6 linked regions of the Canis lupus familiaris genome follow. The protein of the gene in region 6 interacts with the protein of the main gene of each other region in a pairwise test. Links are inferred from orthologs where the notes say so. Each region holds a gene or a part of one and is shown on either strand. Other genes may lie near its edges.

What was found.
Region 1: the proteins of COIL (region 6) and POLR2L interact in binary tests that used the Homo sapiens proteins (3 or more experiments, as listed by UniProt). The two-hybrid records come from large-scale screens. The link is inferred for Canis lupus familiaris from reciprocal best matches to the Homo sapiens genes COIL and POLR2L.
Region 2: the proteins of COIL (region 6) and PDLIM5 interact in binary tests that used the Homo sapiens proteins (3 or more experiments, as listed by UniProt). The two-hybrid records come from large-scale screens. The link is inferred for Canis lupus familiaris from reciprocal best matches to the Homo sapiens genes COIL and PDLIM5.
Region 3: the proteins of COIL (region 6) and NTAQ1 interact in binary tests that used the Homo sapiens proteins (3 or more experiments, as listed by UniProt). The link is inferred for Canis lupus familiaris from reciprocal best matches to the Homo sapiens genes COIL and NTAQ1.
Region 4: the proteins of COIL (region 6) and TAF9 interact in a two-hybrid assay, tested with the Homo sapiens proteins (2 studies listed by BioGRID and IntAct). The link is inferred for Canis lupus familiaris from reciprocal best matches to the Homo sapiens genes COIL and TAF9.
Region 5: the proteins of COIL (region 6) and BYSL interact in binary tests that used the Homo sapiens proteins (3 or more experiments, as listed by UniProt). The link is inferred for Canis lupus familiaris from reciprocal best matches to the Homo sapiens genes COIL and BYSL.

The regions. Positions count from the first base shown.
Region 1 is NC_049239.1:45,633,244-45,636,245, reverse strand, and holds POLR2L (DNA-directed RNA polymerases I, II, and III subunit RPABC5), read left to right. Parts: upstream 1-1,184; 5' UTR 1,185-1,254; coding exon 1,255-1,349; intron 1,350-2,132; coding exon 2,133-2,241; 3' UTR 2,242-2,433; downstream 2,434-3,002. UniProt on the Homo sapiens protein: DNA-dependent RNA polymerase catalyzes the transcription of DNA into RNA using the four ribonucleoside triphosphates as substrates.
Region 2 is NC_049253.1:22,629,828-22,633,901, reverse strand, and holds the start of PDLIM5 (PDZ and LIM domain protein 5), read left to right. Parts: upstream 1-1,254; 5' UTR 1,255-1,384; intron 1,385-2,179; exon of another isoform or gene 2,180-2,327; intron 2,328-4,074. UniProt on the Homo sapiens protein: May play an important role in the heart development by scaffolding PKC to the Z-disk region. May play a role in the regulation of cardiomyocyte expansion. Isoforms lacking the LIM domains may negatively modulate the scaffolding activity of isoform 1.
Region 3 is NC_049234.1:22,159,681-22,163,252, reverse strand, and holds part of NTAQ1 (protein N-terminal glutamine amidohydrolase), read right to left. Parts: intron 771-3,572; coding exon 671-770; intron 1-670. UniProt on the Homo sapiens protein: Mediates the side-chain deamidation of N-terminal glutamine residues to glutamate, an important step in N-end rule pathway of protein degradation.
Region 4 is NC_049257.1:19,523,886-19,526,951, reverse strand, and holds TAF9 (transcription initiation factor TFIID subunit 9), read left to right. Parts: upstream 1-1,498; 5' UTR 1,499-1,626; coding exon 1,627-2,424; 3' UTR 2,425-2,563; downstream 2,564-3,066. UniProt on the Homo sapiens protein: The TFIID basal transcription factor complex plays a major role in the initiation of RNA polymerase II (Pol II)-dependent transcription.
Region 5 is NC_049233.1:10,768,199-10,772,332, reverse strand, and holds the start of BYSL (bystin), read right to left. Parts: upstream 2,825-4,134; 5' UTR 2,668-2,824; exon of another isoform or gene 2,461-2,667; 5' UTR 2,447-2,460; coding exon 2,179-2,446; intron 1-2,178. Other genes in the region: MED20 (mediator of RNA polymerase II transcription subunit 20), read left to right, coding at 3,003-3,016. UniProt on the Homo sapiens protein: Required for processing of 20S pre-rRNA precursor and biogenesis of 40S ribosomal subunits. May be required for trophinin-dependent regulation of cell adhesion during implantation of human embryos.
Region 6 is NC_049230.1:31,705,563-31,709,134, reverse strand, and holds the end of COIL (coilin), read left to right. Parts: intron 1-619; coding exon 620-708; intron 709-2,306; coding exon 2,307-2,390; 3' UTR 2,391-3,274; downstream 3,275-3,572. UniProt on the Homo sapiens protein: Component of nuclear coiled bodies, also known as Cajal bodies or CBs, which are involved in the modification and assembly of nucleoplasmic snRNPs.

The sequences.
Region 1 (3,002 bases), on a different chromosome or scaffold from region 6:
CCACCCACCGTGGGAGGGTGGGGAGTACAGGCCCCACTCATGCCCAGCCCACCTGACTAGCTGACACCCGCCCCCCCCCCCCCCCCCGCAGGCGCTGCTCTGGAACACATCCATCCCCACAGCCCCAAAGTCTGCCTCCTCCAGGGAGCCCTCCCTGCCTCCCCCCACACAGATCTGCACACACCCCCCCCCCGTGGCCCCCGGATCGAGGAGCTCACCTCACCCCGCCCCCAGGGACACAGCCTCATCGTCCCTTCCACCCTCTGTGGCTGCTGCCCCACCATCTCTGACTCCACCACCTACTCCAGCCCTGGCACGAACCCGCGGCCTAGAGCTGCCCGCAGGTATGGCCTCCAGGGCCCTATCCAAGGGGTCCCCCGGCCAGGATCAATGCGCTCCCCGACACACGCGGGCTCTGCAGGGCGCCTCTTCCACGCCGCCCTCCAGGACCACCCGCTCCAGCCTCCGCCCTGCTCTGAGTCCTCAGAGCCCCGACCGCCCGCACCCCCAGGCCCTTCCCCCAGGGCCGCAGAGGGCAGGCTGGGGCGCTGGGGGGGCAGGAGCTGCGGCCGAGCCGGCCGTCGGGGCTACAGTGCGGCCGAGCGGGCCGGGCCGGGGCGGGGACAGCCTTCGCCGCGCCGGGCCGGGAGGGGCCGCGGGAAGGTCCCTCCGGGGCCCCCCTGCCCCCGCCCCCCGCCGCGGGTCCCCGCGCCCCCGGCCCCGGCCCGGCCCCGCCACTTGTTGCTGCGGCTCGGCTCGGGGCTCCAACTCTGCGCCCGCTCGGCTCGGCCCCGGCTCGGGTCCGGGTCCCGGTCGGGGGTTCCGAGGGGCGGGACCTCGGCCGCATCCCCGCGGACCGGCTCTGTACCTGCGCGCGGTCCGCCCGCCGCGCAGCTGTCAGTCATGCGGACACGAGGAAGGCGAAGCGCCGCCGTCGGGCCCTTTCGGTCCCGCTAGGCCGCCGTAGGCCGGGACGTACCAAGGCGAAGGGCCGGGGGGGGGGCGACGCTTGCTCCGGTAGCGGCCGCGTGGGCCCCGGAGCCCCCGGTCCGCGCGGAAGGAGCTCGGCCCGGCAGGGAACGGACGGCGGCGGCAGTGGGGCCGGGGGGCGGGCCGGGGGCGGCCGGGGGCGTGGCGGGACTGGGACTTCTCCCCCCCGCGCCATGGACGCGCCCTCGGCGGGGCCTGCTCCCGGGCGGAAGCGCCGCCCCGTCTGCCAGTCCCCGCGCCGCCGCCGCCGCCGCCGCCAGCGCCATGATCATCCCGGTCCGCTGCTTCACCTGCGGCAAGATCGTCGGCAACAAGTGGGAAGCCTACCTGGGGCTGCTGCAGGCCGAGTACACCGAGGGGTGAGGCTCCGGGCCGGGCGGCGTGCGGAGCCGGGGCCGCGGGGGGCGGGGGGGGCCCTGCTGGGCGCGGGGCCGGCGGGTCGGGCCGGGGCGCGGGGGGCGGGGCGCGGGGCGCGGGGGGCCCCGGAGGGACCAGGTGCCGGCCGCGAGCAAGGGGGCAGGCGGGCAGCGGGACTGCGGGACCGCGGGGACTTGCACACGGACCCCGGCAGGTCGTGGCTCCTGCCCGGAGCAGTTCGGGGCTCCCTGCCCTCCCGCCCTCGGAGGCCCCCGCGCCCGCGAGCCCGCGGCTCTGGGGTCGTGGGCCGGGCTTCCTGGCCACGGAGCCCTGCGGAGCGGGCCGTCCCGGGGCCGCTCTCCCGTCGCTGCCCGTCAGCGCGGGCGTCAGCACCGGCCTCGCGGGCGTCTGCACCTTTAACCCCGGCCTGCGGCGTTTGGGGTGAGCGGGGAGGCCAGGTTGCTGGGGAGTCTGTCGGAAAGACCGAGTGTGAGGGAACCGGCCGGAGGCCCTGGAAGCCCCGGGCAGGAACCGCCCAGCCCTGCGGCTTCCCAGCTCGGCGGCGCTGCACGTCGGAGCAGTGCTCTGGGGATTTTCTGGAAGCCCTTGGGGCAACAGGGGCTGGGCCCCAGGGACACTGACAACTCTAATCGGCTTGGGAAACGGCAGAGAGACGGCTCCCTCCGCGGGGGCGGGGAGGGGGGGCTTGCTCCAGCAGGGTTCGGGTCCTCCGTGTGCCCAGGACTGCCTGCCCCAACCGGGTGTGATCTGCCCCTCACCCACAGAGATGCCCTGGATGCGCTGGGCCTGAAGCGCTACTGCTGCCGCCGCATGCTGCTGGCACACGTGGACCTGATTGAGAAGCTGCTCAACTACGCGCCTCTGGAGAAGTGACAAGTGACCTGCTCACGCCCGTCACCCGGTCACCCGCTGTGCTCACCAGGGGCCGTCTGCGCCGTGCCCCCAGGCACTCCAGTGTGGTCGGGGTGGCATGGAGCATGCCTGTCCACCACCTGTGGATGTGTGTCCCTGCTCTGGAAAGAACTGTCCATTAAAGGTCTTTGCAGAACCATGAAGAGGTCCTAACAGTTGGCCTGGCTTTGTGGGACTCCCTGGTGTTTCTGTGTCCTGCCTCATGCTTGAAGCTGTTTGGGGATAGACGTGGCTCTCACCGTTCAGGGCCCAGAGGTGGCGGGGGTGGTGGAGGGCATCTCACAGCCCAGTGACAGTACACAGACAGCCAAGAGCACTCAGGTTGAGGGTCAGGAGACATTGGCCTGCCCACCACCAGGTTCTGGTTGACCTTTAGGACAAGCACGGAGATCCTCACATCCCTTCCCAGGATCTCAACAACCAGATATTTGAGCCCTGAGTGGAATAACTGCTGCAGTCTCGGCTGCCCATCCTGAGATCTTGCTGCCAGAAGCTTCTAGGCTCCAGCCAAGTTCCTGTGGAGGGGCAGGGATGGTGCCCAGCCTCCATAGCCAGCACTGAGACCCGCACAGTGGGTTGAGGGTGGCCCTGAGGAGGCTCTGCTGGGTGTCAGGGTTTGCCAAGCTCCCGGTGGCCTGGGTATTAGCACTTAATCCTACAGGCCTGCCCAAGAGCTATCTGTCCTATTCCAGGTCCACTGAGGCTTACAGCTGACAGCTGTC
Region 2 (4,074 bases), on a different chromosome or scaffold from region 6:
AATTAAAATGATACAAAAAATTCAGTGCCTTAGTCACATATTTCAAATGTTCCATAGCCATATGTGGCTAGTGGCTACCATTTTGGTCAGGGCAGTATTGGACCTTCTCTAGAAGGCTGTTGTACATTTAGGAGATTCATGGAGTTCATTCTTGCTTTACATGACCCTTGGTTAAAAACTGTCCTTTTCACTTTCTAGAACCCAATTACTTGGGTTGCTCATTGGTTGAATGTCTGCTCTTGGCTAAGGTGGTGATCCTGGAGTCCTTGGGATCAAGTCCTGCATCAGGCTCCTGCTGCTCCCTCTGCCTGTGTCTCTGCCCCCCCCCCCCCCCCCCCGTGTCTCTCATGAATAAACAAAATCTTTAAAAAAAAGTCAACAGGGATCCCTGGGTGGCGCAGCGGTTTGGCGCCTGCCTTTGGCCCAGGGCGCGATCCTGGAGACCCGGGATCGAATCCCACATCGGGCTCCCGGTGCATGGAGCCTGCTTCTCCCTCTGCCTGTGTCTCTGCCTCTCTCTCTCTCTCTGTGACTATCATGAATAAATAAAAATTAAAAAAAAAATTTAAAAAAAGTCAACAGGTTACTTTCTGTATATTCACTGCACATTAAGTTTGCTTATGAATAAATTCCTTGGGATAAATCCAACAACTTTATAGAAACTGAAAAGTGGGCTACTGATTTGTCGGACTTCGAAAAAAAAAAAAATAATGAGGATATGCTGGTTAAACGGCTTTTGGCCCTTGCTCTCTATCCCTGTATTCTGGTATGATCACAGAATTTAGCTTCTAGATATTACGGGTTACCGGTTTCCACCTTCCTGACACGTAAACTTCAGGGTCTGCACCTTTTAGGGCATGTAAAGCTCTCTCCAAAAACCAGGCAGTAGCCGCTGAACTTGCATAGCTAGGGATTTATCCAAAGCCCCCTTCTATTTTTAGCCGGAACAACTGCTTGCCAACTCATTTCTGGAGAGAGAAAAGCATCCGTTACAAAACAGACACGCGGAGCGTACCTTTGCCAGGTACTGCTCGGAATCCCCTGACTACTCCCACCGAAACTCGGTAGCTCGATTGTTCTCCGGCGCCGGCTGCAGCGCGCCTCGGCACGCCCGCGCGCCCGACTCCGCCCGCCCCGGGCAGCCCTGCACCGCCGCTGCAGCCCTGCACCGCCGGGGCGGGGCCCGGAGCGCGGGGGGCGTGTCCCCGCCTGGGGGCGGGGCCGGGAGCGCGGGGGGGCGTGTCCTCCCTGGGGGCGGGGCCGGGGAGTGCGAGAGGGCGGAAGTCCCCGGGGGCGGTGGGGCCGGCGCGCGCACCCCGAGTCACTTGTCAGCGCTCGTCTGAGGCGGAGGCTGCGGAGGCTGCGGCGGCGCTGCGGGCTCGAGGTGAGTGGCCGCCGGGCGGGGATGCGGACCCGGAGGGAGGAGGGCGCGAAGCGGTCTCCCTGCGCCCGGGACGCGGGGGGCCGCGCGGCTGTGGAGGAGGAGGAGGGGGCGCGCCTCGCGCGGGGCCGGCTCCTCAGGTGCCTGCCGGAGCGGTTGAGGTGAGAGCCGCGTGGGAAGACGAGCTCCGGGGCAGGGCGGCGCGGGAGCGGCCGCAGGGCCAGAGCGCGAGCGCTGCGAGTTCCCGGAGCCCGGGTGGTCCGGCACGAGCGCGGCGGCGGCGGCGGCGGCGGCGGCGGGGACCCGCCGGGACCCCTGGGCGCACCCACGTCAAGCACGAACCTCGTGGCGTGTGGGGAGCGGGGCTCCACGCGAAAGGCGCGTTATTTTTATTTGTTTGCTTTCTCGCTCCTGAGACGTGTTTATTTCCCCTCAGATATTAAAAAATTGAGTACTCGTGTGGGCAGACTGCCGTGCGACCTGAAAGAAAGCTTTTTTAAAAAAAAAAAATCTGTGGTAATCTCCAGATTTGTTGATACTCGAGTACTTGTTGGGACTTCTGTTGAGGCTGTGCCTTCGGTGCGTTCGATGACAGAAGTGGATAAAGGAAGGGGGGAAAGAGGAGCGAAAATTCGTGGCCGCGTTGGGCAGGGCAGGGCAGGGCAGGGCAGGGCAGGTCCGGGGTGTGATCGCCAGCTCCCCTCCCAAGGCCGCCTTCCTGACCGTGAGGGCGTCGGACCTGCCCGCCGCGGAAACGGCCCGCTCCGGAGCCTTATTTGGCCAACGGGGCTAGGCGTGAACCTCTTCTGGAAAACTGCCTGGTCGACTCCTCTCCTAGTGTGCGCGCCCGTAGCTTGGGTTCTTCAGCTCCGTCTCCGTTTTCTCCCTCAGTTTGGGAAAAGAGAATCGCAAGATACTGCTTGTTCTTCAGACCGTTCCTGTCACTGTGAGTTGCCCTTTCCGCCTTCCCGCTCACCGAAGAGGCGAAGAAGCCGGGGGTGGGGGGTGGGGGGGTGGGGGGTGGTTAGAAGTGTGGGAATTACCAAGCTTCCTTCCCAAGTGAGAGAGCGAAGACATTGTTTAGACTTTGCCCCAAAGAAAATTCCCAAGCTGTGTAGAGAAGGTCCAACATTTCCTTCGTGTTCGAAAGCAGAATGGGCTGCTCGCTCTTTCCTGCCTGCTTAGTATTTCAGGAGGAGTTTTGGGCACTAATAACCAGACGGAGGAGATCTGGAAAAGGACAGCGAGGATATTACCATTGCTTGGGGATCAGAATGTTTTTTAAGGCAAGTGAAGCTAGCCGAGGGGGAATACTAGAAGTGAAATGACATGGTTCTGTAGTGCGGCTATGACCTTGCCAGGGCTAGCAATTCTAATAAACGAGGTAGGTCAGGAAGGGAGTTCCCAAGTAAAGGGAAGTTGTATGTACATGGTTTGATATATAAATTACATACATTCTCTTGTAGGGAATAATGGGGACGGAAGAAGTTGAGCCTAACTTCCACATTCTTCTCTTGATACAAGTTAAAGATTAAAAAAGGAGGGGGCAAGCTGCCTGTGAAATATCTGTCGGCTCTACACACTTCTGATATGTATCCTAGAATTCCAGTGTCAGGGCGGTCTTTATTAGTTCTATGAAAATCTTTTATTACGGCAGGAAAGCAATTAAATTATGTATGGCTCTTTAATTTTTCTACTTATTTGTTCATATGTATCTACCAGTTTGACTTCTGGAATGGCCAGTGGGTCTTTTAGGGCCCTGTGCATATTACATCAGTCCTGAATTTGTCCTGCCATGCCAGTGTAAAAGCTCATTTCTTTTCTGGTTAGATGCAGTGTAGATTTTTATTGGTTTAATTTTTCTTTAAGAGCCAGACTTGAAAGTTTTGCCTCATTTCCCCCTTATTAGAGGATGTAATCTGTTTGTTTTTATTATACACAGTAGTTCGATATGTACATTTGCCAATATTAATTTGGTGTAATGGGATCAAAGATTTGAATGGGTTAAAAAAATGGAAAAATGTTTTAATGTAAGTAATATAAGGTGATGATTTAGTCCAACAGCACAGATTGTCCAAGCAAGTGTGCCTTCAATGGTTTTAAGATTATTAAATTATACATCTGTTGTATTTTCAATATTTTTATTTTTTTAAGGTTTTATTTATTTATTCATGAGAGACACACACGGGGGCGGGGCGGGGGAGTGGGAGCAGAGACACAGGCAGAGGGAGAAGCAGGCTCCATGCAGGGAACCCATGTGGGACTCAATGTGGGACTCGATCCTGGGTCTCCAGGATCACACCCTGGGCTGAAGGCGGCGCTAAACTGCTAAGCCACCAGGGCTGCCCGTTAATATTTTTGAAGAGAGAAATGTTTCATAGCATTACATTTTAGAAAATATCCATTTCTTCCAATTTCTCCCACCACACATAAACATCACATCAACCAATACCAAACTCAAAGTCACACTTTTTTTTTTTTTTTAAGATTTTATTTATTTATTCATGAGAGACACAGAGAGAGAAGCAGGCTCCATGCAGGGAGCCTGACATGGGACTCGATCTGGGACTCCAGGATCAAGCCCTGGGCTGAAGGCAGGCGCTCAATTGCTGAGCCACCTAGGCGTCCCCACACTTCTTTTAATTATATAAAAGTCCAACCATGAGAGTCATTGTGGGTGTACTTACAGCAAA
Region 3 (3,572 bases), on a different chromosome or scaffold from region 6:
AGACCTGGCAGATTCTCAAGTCTTAGTTTCCCAGATTGTTATGGGAGCTCCCTGAGTCTCTATCTCCTCCTTTATAAAACAGAAACAGCCATCTGAACCCTGCCTACTTTATCATGGTTCCATTAGCATGACATGATGCTTACAAAAGTGCTTTACGGGCTCCAGGATGGATCATTTGGTAGCGTGTGTGACTCTTGATCTCGGGGTTGTGAGTTCAAGCCCCACATTGGGTGTAGGGATTACTTAAAAATCTAAATCTTTAAAAAAAAATTTAAAAGGTGCTTTACAAAATATTAAGGGCTTTTTTTTAAGGGTTTGCTTTTTTAATAATTCATGTAAGTTTATCATAATTTTATTTAAACTCCAGAGACAAAAACATCTTTACTTCAAACCTGAGAGTACATGGCTGTAGTCTAAGGAATTTAAAAAGCTTTAACTTGTGTAAATACACCATCATCTATTTCTTGACCTACAAATAAGGGACTTAACTTTTCTAACTCAACTGTGCCCTGAAATGAGGGGAAAAAAAAATCTCATTCAAAAATAAACTTTAAAATGTTATTTTATTTTATAAAGCACGTTAGGACAGCACTGACCCCATATATTATATTTAGTTTCTACTATCACCCTAAATCTCTTGTTCTCTTTCTGCAATCAGTCACCAACTTACCATCTTCCTCTCATTAGATATGAAGACAGCGTAACACTCTTCTAAAGGATACTGGTCATGGTTTTTGATGTATTCACAGAGCTTCCAGATATTTTCTTCACTGAAATAAAATAATAGTTTCATCAACATAATTATACAATGACTCTCTGTGTCTTTCAAATTTGAACAGAAGACTGATGAGGATATTAAAAAGTTGGAAGAGATTTTAAACACCACCTCATTCAATAACTAGCTGATGCCTGACCCTCCTCTAAAATATCCCCAACAAAGTGTTACCCAAATTATACTGTGTGCTGAGCTCTCTCCAAACACAGCAGTTGTTACCTGCCCCAGCAGTGTTTGCAAATGGAGGCATTTTATAACTGATAAAATGCTACATCAATACTCCACAGCTTTGGGTCCAGTGACTCGAGACACAGCTGGAATTCCAACTCAGCCACTTAAACAAGGTAAGAAGCTTTGAACATCTTGACCTGAGTATCTACTTTTCTTACCTGTAAAATGAGGATAATCATATTTTAAACACTTGAAAAATCTTAGTTAATATTGGTTCACTGCTCCCCTTAGGAAAGGGGCAAGAATAATGTTTTGGGTAGGAGGGCTTCTGGCTGGAAAGGACTGAGGGCAGTTACATGATATGCCTAGGAATTCTTTTGGAGAGAGACTCTGAGTGGGATTCCCTACATCCCTCTGGTACAACAGAGGTCCTGACTTTTAGAAAGTTTTCTCATACTGAATTAAAATCCACCTTCCTATATTTCAGCCCCAGATAAATGTCTCTATGACAGGCCTTTAGATATTTAAAACAGTAGTCAGAACCACCTAAGCAATGCCAAGTGCATCAAACCAAGCCACACTGGTGGCCACAGGCACACTCCCACACAGGTAAAAACATTCACTGCTGGCAGTATTCACAGCTCAGCCCCTGGATTATTTTTTTTCAATGAGGCACATAGCACCTTCGTTCAAAACAACCTGCATCAACACTCTGCTCATACTCATGATTCAACTGTCAAAGTCTAATTTCCAAACACCTACACTATGCCACTTGAAAATAAAGTAAGGCATACACGGCACTAAGGACTACCACCATTTTATGACACACGTTCAATGCAGTTTTGACCTTGTCTACCTGCACGACTACATTTAAAGCACCGAAATGAAGTGTATTTTTTTCCTATGATTTTTTTCTATAAGATACCTAAGAAATCTTAACAGAAAAAGTAGTGGCAGAGGTAAAAACAGGAAACTGCTACTACTTCCATAGGCTATGTAGTATGGGGTAAGCAAAAAGGTACAGTTTCAACATGACATATGACGTGTATTAGCTACATTTTAAAAAACCTGGATGTTGGGCAGCCCCGGTAGCTCAGTGGTTTAGCGCTGCCTTCAGCCGAGGGCGTGATCCTGGAGACCCGGGATCGAGTCCCACATTGGGCTCCTGCATGGAGCCTGCTTCTCCCTCTCCCTCTGCCTGTGTGTCTCTCTGTGTGTGTCTCTCATAAATAAATTAAAAAAAAAAAAAAAAAAAAACCCTGGATGTTCTAAGACCACATTTTTAGAAGACATGTCTGTCCAGCCTCTAGACATTCTTGAGTTGATCAAAGACATCAAGAACCCATGATATAAAAGCACCATGCTAAGTGGTTGGAGAATGTAATGATAAATTAGAGCTTGCAGACAGTGAGAGAAGACATACAGATCCATAAATAAGCAAGCATCATAGAAGGCCATAAAAGATGCACAGAAGGAAGCGTCATTGATTTTGAGGGGCACAGGAAGATGGAGGGCATATAGGTCAGGGGTTTCTCCTTGTGTTGCCCTTCCCCCAGGCCTAAGGATGGGCACAGGGTTAACACAAAGATTTTAAGAATCTGTGTGTACCCCAAGTACTGTTGGCAGGCTGAATATGTACGTGGCTGGACAAACTTTGTCTATTATCTTTCAAATATGTGTGAATGTTACAAAGAGAAATAAAAATTTAAACTAAGAGTCACTGAATTTGTAGCCCCTTTTTATTATCAATTTTTTTCCCAAGAGTACAATTAATAACATGTAGGAGGATCTCAAGAAACTTGATGTTTAAAAAAAGGGGGCCTGGGGACACCTGGGTGGGTGGCTCATTCGGTTAAGCATCCAACTCTTGATCTCAGCTCAGGCCTTGATCTCAGGGTTATCAGTTCAAGCCCTGCATGGGGCTCACTCTGGGCATGGAGCCTACTTTTAAAAGGTTGAGGGGGGTACTTATACTTGGAAATGCTGGGGTTACTGGTGGAATAGGAAGAAACCCAGATTTGGTATGAATCCTAGCACCTCTTTAAAAAAGGGGGGGGGATCCCTGGGTGGCTTAGCAGTTTGGCACCTACCTTTGGCCCAGGGAGCAATCCTGGAGTCCGGGATTGAGCCCCATGTCGGGCTCCTGGCATGGAGCCTGCTTCTCCCTCTGCCTATGTCTCTGCCTCTCTCTCTCTCTCTATGCCTATCATAAATAAATAAATCTTTAAAAAAGGGGGGGGGGGATTGTGATAATAACGTTCCAACCTACTGGTTGATTACTTTGTTGTAGCAGAAAAACTAACAACGCAGCATTAAGGTCAAGATTCTGCAAGGATTACTGGTGATGGGCTGAGATCAGAGAAGCATGAAGGTAAGGATCCCTGGCACACAGGAGGAGCTCAACCAACATCTGAAGAGTACAAAGAGAATCAGACATGTTCTGCAAACCACCTAGTGCCACACAAATACTGGTTACCACTATTATCACTCAGCTGGGTCTGAACAGATAAATAACATCTGACAGAAGCTAAAAGACACAGAGAGGAGGCACTTATTCCAAGTTATAAAAACCTGCAGGAGCAAACATAATAAGGTACACTATCTGATAGATTAAGACAAGATAGAA
Region 4 (3,066 bases), on a different chromosome or scaffold from region 6:
CTTTTACTTAGCATAATGTTTCCTTTTATAGCTGAGTAATATTCCATTATATGGATATACCACATTTTGTTTATCCATTCCTTTAGTTAATGGGCAATTGAGTTGTTTCCACTTTGAGCTACTGTGAGTAATGCTGCTATAAGCATTTGTGTACACATTTCTGCGTGTACCTATGCTTTCATTCTTTAGTGTATATACCTAGGAATGGAATTGCTAGATCATAGGGCTACATCACAGAAATATAGGTCACAGAAATATAAATTCCTGCCCAAGAGAGTTAAGATACATGTAAGTCTCTTAATATGTATCTCCAAGTTGCTTTTCAAAAAGCTTTGAATTAAGTTTTAACTCTATGATTGAAGATCTTACTGTTATTCATGGTCGGTTCTCAGGAGTAATGATGTCCCAAAATAACAGCCTAGGACAGTGTTGTCCAATAAAAATATCATACAACTCATTAGGTAATTTAAAATCTTCTAGTAGACACATTTTTTAAAAAAGTAATAAACAGGGGAGTGTGGGTGGTGTAGTCCGTTAAGCATCTATCTGACTCTTGATTTCAGCTCAGGTCATGATCTCAGAGACATGAAATTGAACCTCACCTCGGGTTCTGTGCTGAGCACCAAGTCTGCTTGGGTTTCTCTCTGCCTCTCCTTCTGCCTCTCCCCTTGCACACTCGCGTGCTCTCTCTCTTTCTCTCTCAAATAAGTCTTTAAAAAAGTAATAAGTGAAATTAATTTTAATAATATATTTTATTGAACTCAATATATCCAAAATATATCTTTTCAAACTATATATTTAAAAATTATTGCTAAGGTTTTTTTTCTTCTTTATTCACATTCAGTTTCTGAAATCTAACATGTGTTTTACACTTTACATCTCCATTTGTTTTTGTTTCTGGTTTGTTTTTGTTTTGTTTTGTTTTGAGATTGTATTTATTCATGAGAGACACAGAGAGGCAGAGACGCAGACTCCCCACAAGGAGCCAGATGCAGGATTCAATCCTGGAACCAGGGATCATGCCCTGAGACAAAGGCAGATGCTCAGCCTCTGAGCCACCCAGGTGTCCCTCACATCTCCATTTGAACTAGGCACATTTCCAGTGCTCAGTAGCCAAGTGTGGCTTAGTGGCTACTGTATGGAATAGCACAGGTCTAGGAATTTGGCTATCTTCTTTGGAAGGTGGCAGGCGGTTACTTTTAAAAACATATCCTCATTTATGTCCCTTTGTTACCTTACTCTTTTTAATAAAAATGAAGCAGAAACAAAATTTAACTGACTAAAAAAGCCTCCTAGATAAGAGAATGGCTTACTAAATACTGTTTTACTGCTTCATATTTCTACCTGTTGAGTAACAATGTATAATGGGTGAAAAAAAAGACAACTTTAAAAGATACACTCCTTTATTCCAGCTTACTTGAACAGATCCTGGGGCTAGTTTTGTTTCTAGAATCTACATTATGTTACTGAATGCTAAACACCAGTGCAATGTTGCTCCCGAACATCCTGCTCACCGGTACCCCGGGGGTTGGAAAAACCACACTAGGCAAAGAACTTGCATCGAGATCAGGATTGAAATACATTAATGTGGGTGATTTAGCTCAAGAAGTCTGATCAACAGATATCATGGAGTCTGGCAAGATGGCTTCTCCCAAGAGCATGCCGAAAGATGCACAGATGATGGCACAAATCCTGAAGGATATGGGGATTACAGAATATGAACCAAGAGTTATAAATCAGATGTTGGAGTTTGCGTTCCGATATGTGACCACAATCCTAGATGATGCAAAAATTTATTCAAGCCATGCTAAGAAGGCTACTGTTGATGCAGACGATGTGCGGCTTGCCATTCAGTGTCGTGCTGATCAGTCTTTTACCTCTCCTCCCCCAAGAGATTTTTTATTGGATATTGCAAGGCAAAGAAATCAAACTCCTTTGCCGTTAATCAAGCCATATTCAGGCCCCAGGCTGCCACCTGATAGATATTGCTTGACGGCTCCAAACTATAGACTTAAGTCTTTACAAAAAAAGGCATCAACTTCTGCGGGAAGAATAACAGTTCCACGGTTAAGTGTTGGTTCTGTTACTAGCCGACCAAGTACTCCCACTCTTGGTACACCAACCCCACAAACCATGTCAGTGTCAACTAAAGTAGGGACTCCCATGTCCCTCACAGGGCAGAGGTTTACAGTACAGATGCCCACATCACAGTCCCCAACTGTAAAAGCATCAATTCCTGCCACATCCGCAGTTCAGAATGTTCTGATTAATCCATCATTAATTGGGTCCAAAAACATTCTTATCACTACAAACATGGTGTCATCACAAAATACTTCCAATGAATCATCAAATGCATTGAAAAGAAAACGAGAAGATGATGATGATGACGATGATGATGACGATGATGACTATGATAATTTGTAATCTAGCCTTGATGCTGTAACCTGTAAACTTGGTCTTAAATCCATTGTACTGAGATTAAACGTGCATGCTGGGTATTTTGAAGTTGTGTTGTAGAAAACTTAAATGGTATTTAATGAGTAAATATAGTTATCCTTTCCTATTGAATGTTGGGTTTTCTTTAATAGGATTAGTAATGGTTATTCATTAGCCTTTAAGTGTGAAAAATAAAATTGTTGTTCATCAAAAAAAAAAACAAAAAACACCAGTGCAAACATTCTCTTAAATTAATAAAAATTTCTTTTGTTGAGTCTTTAATGATGAAATGAACAGGAAAGAAGAAAAGCAAGAAATAGATTTGACTGTGCTATACTGATGAAAACCATGTTTTTCAATTTATTCTCACAATAAAAAGTATTTGATCTGAAATCCTATATAATCCCAGGATGCAACAATCCTTCTCTGTTGTATGGCAACTTCCTGCCATGCATAATTATTTTCCAAAAGCGTATCAGGTCAGAAATGAAGCAGAGAATGGGGGAAAGAGTCCATAGTGATCTTAGGCAGATTTTATTTTACTAGTAGGAATCAGTTGGATAGTTATTACCACCTGGCACTGCTAATGAGTCTAGTTGGGAAAACAAAGCAGCAAAGCATTCCACAGCA
Region 5 (4,134 bases), on a different chromosome or scaffold from region 6:
AGCCTACATGGGTAAGAAAACAGAAGGAATAACCAGGACAAAAGCCCTAAGTTAGTATGTTTAAGGAAAAATAAAGCCTGTATGGATGAAGAGAGTAAGGGGAAAGTAGTAGAGGAGGTCAGATTGGCAACAGGGGCAGATCATGGAGGTCTTTTAAGTCATCCAATTATTGTGAGTGGACTGTAAGGGTGACTGTATGCTAATTAGGAAGCTACTAAAAATAATCCAGGTGAGAGATTATGGTGGTTCAAATAGGACTGTGTTCCAAGGTGATGAGATGTGGTCTGACTCTGATTTATTTATTTATTTATTTATTTATTTATTTATTTATTTATTTATTTATTCATTCATTCATTCATTCATTCATTCATGAGAGAGAGAGAGAGAGAGAGAGAGAGAGAGAGAGACACAGGCAGAGAGAGAAGCAGGCTCCATGCAGGGAGCCTGACGTGGGACTCGATCCCGGGTCTCCAGGATCAGGCCCTGGGCTGAAAGCGGTGCTAAATCACTGAGCCACCCGGGCTGCCCGACTCTGATCTATTTTGAAGATACGAGTCAACAAGATTTCCTAACATATCAAATGTGGAATAAGAAAGAAATCCAAGGCTTGCCTTGATCAAATGGAAGGATAGCATCCTATTAACTGAGCTGATAGTGGGAGGAGCAGGTTTGGCGAGAAGATCAGGATTTCTGTTTTGGACACATTAAATTTGAGATCTCTTGGGACGCCTGGGTGGCTCAGCGGTTGAGCGTTTGCCTTCAGCTCAGGGAGGGATCCCAGAGTTCTGGGATCAAGTCCGGCATCGGGCTCCCTGTGAGGAGCCGGCTTCTCCCTCTGCCTATGTCTCTGCCTTCTCTCTGTGTCTTTTATGAAAAAATAAATAAAATCTTAAAAAAAATAAATTTAAGACGTCTATTAGATTTCAAATTGGGGATGTCAAAAAGGCAGCTAAAATAGAAGAATCTGATTTTCATGGAAGAGATCAGGGCAAGAATACAAGGGTGGGAACAGTTACCAAATAGATGGTACTTAAACCGTGAAATGGATGACAGCACCAGAGAAGAGATATGAAAAGAAGAGGTCCAAGAACCAAACTTGTGGCATATCAATGATAAAAGGCTGGGGACAAAAGAGCCAGCAAAAGATGCTGAGAGGTGAAGAAGTACTAAAACAGGAATGGGATGGCTCAGAAGCCAAGTAAAGATACCGAACCCAGGAGGCCAGTGTTTAATTGTGTCAAACACTGCTCTCAGGACAAATGAAAGATGTGACCTGAGAAATGTATTAAGTGACCCGGAGGTCAACACTTACACCCTAAAAAATTAAAAAAAAAAAAGACCATCTTTTTATTAGTCTCTCTCCCTCTTTATAGCACCTAAACAATATCGTTCATTCTGCTTAGAGCTCTCTCTCCACTAGTTTTCAGCACCAAAGTCATGTAACCTAGGAACCCTGACCCCCAAAACTAATGCTCTTGTTTTAAGATGAAACTATACTTAAAAAAAAAAAAAAAGATTTTCATTTATTTATTTACAAGAAACACACAGAGAGAGGCAGAGGCATAGGCAGAGGGAGAAGCAGGCTCCCCGCTGGGATCCCGACGCGGGACTCCATCCCAGGACCCCGCGATCCTGCCCAGAGCCCAAGGCAGATGCTCAACCACTGAGACACCCAGGTGTCCCAAAACTATACTTTCATCATGAAATGTATTATTCGAATCGTCAATTTAATTGTCTCTCAGGTTAGACTGTAAGATCTTGAAGTCAGGGTCATGGCTATCTTGCTTCCTTTTTTACTCAAAACCATCTAAACTCCTACCTAGCACAGTGCAAAGTACGGACTAGACAACCTACAAGAATGTACAGAACAGATGGATAAACGTTAGGAGTGCTCAATAGTGTGACCAATTAACTTCTTGTTGGTCTAACTTAGAGACTGCCTAGACGCAAGCATCTAAAGCAACAAGTGGGCATAGAGAGCTCTGACCACCCTGAATCTATTCCAGGGCTGGGTCTCCCATTTCATCACCTTTGCAAGGGTGTGATGCGGACTCCTTATTCAATTTCACTTTTTTTATTCCAAAGGATTCCCCTGGCAGAACCTTTTGGCCGTCTATCTACTTCCCCCTCCCTCCAAAACTAACCACCCTCTTCCTGGCACCCCCCTCCCCCACTTACCCAGACGCGTGGTGCGCTCGCGCGGGGCTGCGGCCTTGTTCCCAGTCCCATGCTCGGTCTCGAGTTCCTCCTGTTGCTGCCGCGCTTGCTGCAAAATCCGTCGGGTCAGCCGGGGCCCCACATACTCTTCGTCCTCCTCTCTGGTCCCACGACCCCGCCGCTTCTCCCGGGGCCCTGCCCGCGCCGCGTCCCCAGCCAGGATTTGCTCAGCCAGCGGCGCATGTTTTTCCTGGCCTGCAGCTCCGCGAGCCGGCTTGAATTTGGGCATTTTTTTCCAGAACTCTGCCAGAAAGGTTTACACGTGGGGTACAGACGAGGAAAAAAAAAAAAAAAAGCCTTGAGCGCACTTGCGCCGTGAAGTCCCAGCTCCCAAGAGGCCCCCGCGGAGCTCACAGCGCCTCCCGGCGTCCGGAGGCCGGGAAGGCCATCAGCGCCGCCACACCCCGTAAGAGCGGGGCCTGGAGCCAGCCGGTCCCCGAATGAACTCACTGCTTCTAACGCTGGCTTCTGCAAGTGGTGGCAGTCCGAGCGGTGGTTTTCTACTTTCATAGATCGAGGACCTCTGTTCCCAGCCAAACGTGGACTTGCCTAGCTGCAAAGCCGGGGCCAGAGTTGGGTAGTGACGTCACTGGAGGCGTCACCGAGGAGATGCCTAGACCTGCCCCTGTTCCTCGTGGGCGCGTCGACTGGACGCTCTCCTTTTGCGTCATTTCCGGAGCACCTCCCTCGGCCGAAGCTTTCGTTAGGGGTCTTCACTTAGTGTGGGCGGCCAGAGACTACTGTGATCCGATTGTTTGTTCCTGCCATCCTCCTGGCCCGATACCATGGGAGTGACTTGGTAGGCCCGCAGGGGACTTTTTTGGGCGGCGCTCGGGGTCGGGAAGGGCCCCGGAGCCCGGAGTGTACCGGGAGGAGGGCCGGGACCAGGGACCGCGGTCCCCCATGAGCTGATGAAGATAAGATATCTTCGGAACGTGTGGGTGATGGAGACGCTGCGAGGGCTGCAGATTCTCCGCGCTTGTTTGCTCGGAGACACTTCCCTTCGTCCTGAAAGGCGGCAGGTGAAAGGTTTTGTCCCAGGAGCCCATCAGTGGTTGTGTTCCTCCTTCCCAGGAGGCCATAGGGCTGCCCGAGGTGGAAATTAAGGATGCCCGAACTAGGACCCAATCTACAGGCGTAGCTAGAGGAGGTAAAGGATAGGCAACGAGGAAACCGTCTTTTTTTAAAGATTTTCTCCTGCCCCTCCCTACAGCCACTTAATGCAGTTAGACCGGCCCGTGTCTGGTTCTGGTGCGGCCGTCTTAAGATTTTCGGTCTAGAGGGAAAAAAAAAAAAAAAATAAGCAGCAGCAGCTGTTGGGAGGTAGATTGGGGTTTAGGCACGTCACCTCTTCAGAATTCGTTTCCTACTATGTTTAATTGTATGGTTGGTGTAACTAATTACTATGGACTTTTAATCTCTCAACATGATATAAGTGGGGTGGCAGAGAAAGGTATGGGCCTAATGCTCTTGGAGAAAATGCTAGATTTTAGGGATTGTTTTGTTTTGAGTACCGGTAAGTATTAGCACGTTTCTAGTTAGGGCTGGAGCCTGTGGGAACCACTCTTTTTTTAAAAAAAAATTTTAATTTATTTATGATAGTCACACACACACACAGAGAGAGAGAGAGAGAGAGAGGCAGAGAGAGGCAGAGAGACATAGGCAGAGGGAGAAGCAGGCTCCATGCGGGGAGCCCGACGTGGGATTCGATCCTGGGTCTCCAGGATTGCACCCTGGGCCAAAGGCAGGCGCTAAACTGCTGCACCACCCAGGGATCCCTGGAGCTAGTCTTTCTGATAGCTCAGGTTCTTGTAGGCTTGTCGGTTACTGCACCTGTGTTTTCTGCAATGGATATTTTAAGCCTTTTCTAAGTTTTCTAGTGTAAGGGAGTGTATGAGGGTTGGAAGGAAAAGCTTG
Region 6 (3,572 bases):
TTTTTTCATCTCCCAGTACAATAGGTTTTAATGTTTTGACAATTTTTAAAAGGTCCTGATAATTTTCCCCATTTGATTATTCAGATTGTTTTGCATGATTTCAGCCTGCAAGGTCATTTTTGTAGCCTCACACTACCATACAAAGTGAGGACTGCTGTATTACCAAGTTGTAAGCATGTTTAATTTCTGAGGACACAGAGCAAGATAGACAAATTTTGCAGAATTCATATTGCCTTTCCCTGCTGGAACATATCAATGATCTTTTGGATTATCTAATGGTTACACATATATTTTTTTTTCTGAGAGTACTAATAACAGGGTGACAAGCTTGTTTATTTTTTGATGAAGGAAAGATTGTCTCTGATAAATGACCAAGAAACTACCTCTGCTGTTACAGTTTTTTTTGTTTGTTTGTTTTTTTGTTTTGTTTTTTTGTTACAGGGTTTTTTAAGGGTCTCCTGTCACTGAGCACTCCATGCTTTCATGTGCATACCCAGCCTCTACATCAGTGGACAGTTTGTTTGTGGTTGTTTTTCTAATGATATAAGTTCCCTGTAGATGAACATTTTCACTACCGGGAAATGACTTATTGTCTCTCCTTCCTACCATCTGGTTTCAGCCATGAAAGAACCTGGGAAATTTGATTTGGTTTATCACAACGAAAACGGAACTGAGGTAGTGGAGTACGCTGTGACGCAGGAGAAGAGGGTAGGCACGCTTCTCTTCTTGGGATTGCTTGGTTGTTCATTCTCTCTCCACTGGCTCCTGGTGGTCTGGAAGGTGACATTGCAGCTTCCTGAACTGCCTATGTTAAAGCCATAAAAGATGTAGGCCCTGGGATCCCTGGTCTGCCTACAGGGTGGCAGTTTCAGTGTCCAGTGCCAAGTTAGGGTGCCATCTTGGATCTCAAAGAGCCTATGTGACAAGGCGCACAAATAGCAAAGTCTTATTGAAGACTATAGAGTTGCATAAAATCGTAGTTATGTCACAGTTTTGGTAGAAAAGAATAGTGTATTTAAAAAACTTTATTGATATATACATTGAGAAAAGTATACTTAAATATATAGCTTGAACAGTTGTCACAAATGAACATACCCATATCACCAGCACCTAGGTCAAGAAGCAGAACATTAATAACAGCCCCCCTGGAAGTCTCCATCATGCCTCCCTGTAGTTACTACTACCTCCCGGTTGTTACTGTGATTGTGACTTACAACAGCATAGATGGTTTCAAAGAATGACATAAAATGACGATTCTGTCTTTTGACTTCTGCTTAAATCCTTAAAGTGCCATTTTAGGAAATATCTGGTTTAGAGCTTTTAGACAGCCAGACTTCCAGAATTGCTGGCAATGACTGACTCATGAGGCTGTGCTAACATTAAGCTAAATAGAATTTATATTTAAGAAAATGCTTCCTCTTAAGGTGTTTATATTTGAAATGTTATGGTTATTATTCTGTAACTTTCAGTATTGAAAAGTCACATTTTAGAAATGTAAACTTGTAGAAACCCTAACCAGACTATGTTTTGCTTTGTCTTTAGGATAGATGACACTTTTAGGGATTTATTCCAAAAATACATTTTTAGGGTCTGTGGGATCAGCAGATTTGGCCAAGTCTCCTGTACTTCTTTATTTGCAATGTATGCCTGTTCACTTTTTTGTTGAAATGTATTCTTGGAAACTACATTGGAAAATTAAACCTTGGAAGCTTTCCTCTCTATGCCTTATTAAATGGGGCCTGAAGCAGAGCCTGTCATTCATTAACCTTTCTCTGACACTAGATGGCCCTCGTGATTCATCCACATGGCCAAGCGTTAGTATTTGCTCTTGGTAAAACCTGAACCGCCTAGATTTAGGTAGCAAAGGATAGGAACTGTAGAGCTGTGCAAAGGAACATCAGGAGTCCAGTAATAACCCTAATGGGCCATATCTGCCTATGAAGAGTATTTGTGCCACTGAGCCACAGGGTCTGGTTGGGCAAATCCTCTTGACCCTGGGTAACCAGCTGCCCCACACCCTAGCCCATCCCACCCCCTGCTTGAAATGAGAGAAGGGTGAAATGTGTTTATTTATTTTATTTATTTATTTATTTTTTGTGAAATGTGTTTAAAGTGTAGTTGCATTCTAGGTAAACAGGTGCTTCTGTCCTAATTGAACTCAGCTTACTGGGACTCAGATCATTCCAGGTCTTCTTCAGCCAATTCTGCACAAATGGAAATTTACTTGACTGAAGTTTTTAACCAACTAAAATTTCTGTGACCTCAAAATGAAACCTCTAAACCAAATATTTTGTGTTTTTCCCCAGATCACTGTTTTTTGGAGGGAGTTGATTGACCCAAGATTGATTGTTGAATCTCTGAGTACCACACCAAGTACAGAGCCTGCTTGAGGATGACCTCTCCACCTCATAGTTTATAAATGTTTTGTTGGTGAAAGCGACTATAACCTGAACTTTAAGAAAAAAAAAAAAGATTCGAAAGTTGTATGCATTTTTTGTTCACTTTACTGCATAGGAAAAAAAATCTACCTCATCATTTAAAATAACATGGATATGCTTTTTGTAGATCTTTTTTTTCTTCTTCCAGGCTTAATTTCAGTAACAAAATTTAAAACATGACATTCCCTGCAGGCATTGTTATATATCAGTATATATGGTTTCTTCTCTTTTTTTATTTATTTTTTGACCATCAAGTAGCCAACGTCAGTAGGAGTTTATAACACCAAGTACAAGAAAATGCTGCATATCTTGTCTCAGTAAGTTCTATTAAGTAACATTTTAAAACATGAAAGCATGTTACTTGACCTAATTTTTTTAACATTCGAGTTGTTCCATTAAATGTGGAACATCTTATAAATTGCAAGTATTTTATACTTGTAACTGTCAAGAATTTAAAAGTAACTGGGTTTGTTGCAGGCAATGAGTTAAGGAATCCTTTCACATTTTTCTCAACTTTAAAATTGAGGATTTCCAGAGCCCTGGGTAGAGCAATGAAAATAAGACTTTGTATGTTTGCCTGGGGACGAACTGGTATTCCACCTGGGTGAGGGGATTTCCTATGAGTTCAGGCCAGGGAACCTGTTATCTTACTACAAGATCCCAAGCACCTGGCTGAGTGTGCTGGAGTGAGGACTGAACAGAAACTCTGGTTTCTGTTATTATTCAACACAAAGCTAAAATGGCTAAATATATACTGTGAAAATTGCTTCCTTTTAACAAAGATTAGGTTCCTCTTCAGCTTTGCAAATTTTTAAATAAAATCATATTGAACTAAACTTCCATGCTGAGTCATCATGTTTAGTTGAGTATTGTAAACTGCCGTCTTATTTCACAATAACACGAGAGATACAAATGTTCTGGAACAGGAAAGTTTGCTTTGACTGAAGAGTCTATCGTTGCAAAGCTTAGTCCAATGAGATGCATTAGATCTAGGAGCTATTGGGCCGGTGGTGCTGTCCAGTTTTAACCTGCATGACATTGATGTGTATCAAATGTGTATTTATTGATCTGTAATGGGAAGTGTTACTCCAGAAGGAGTGAGATCAACGTGAATGATTGGATCTTGGCACTAGG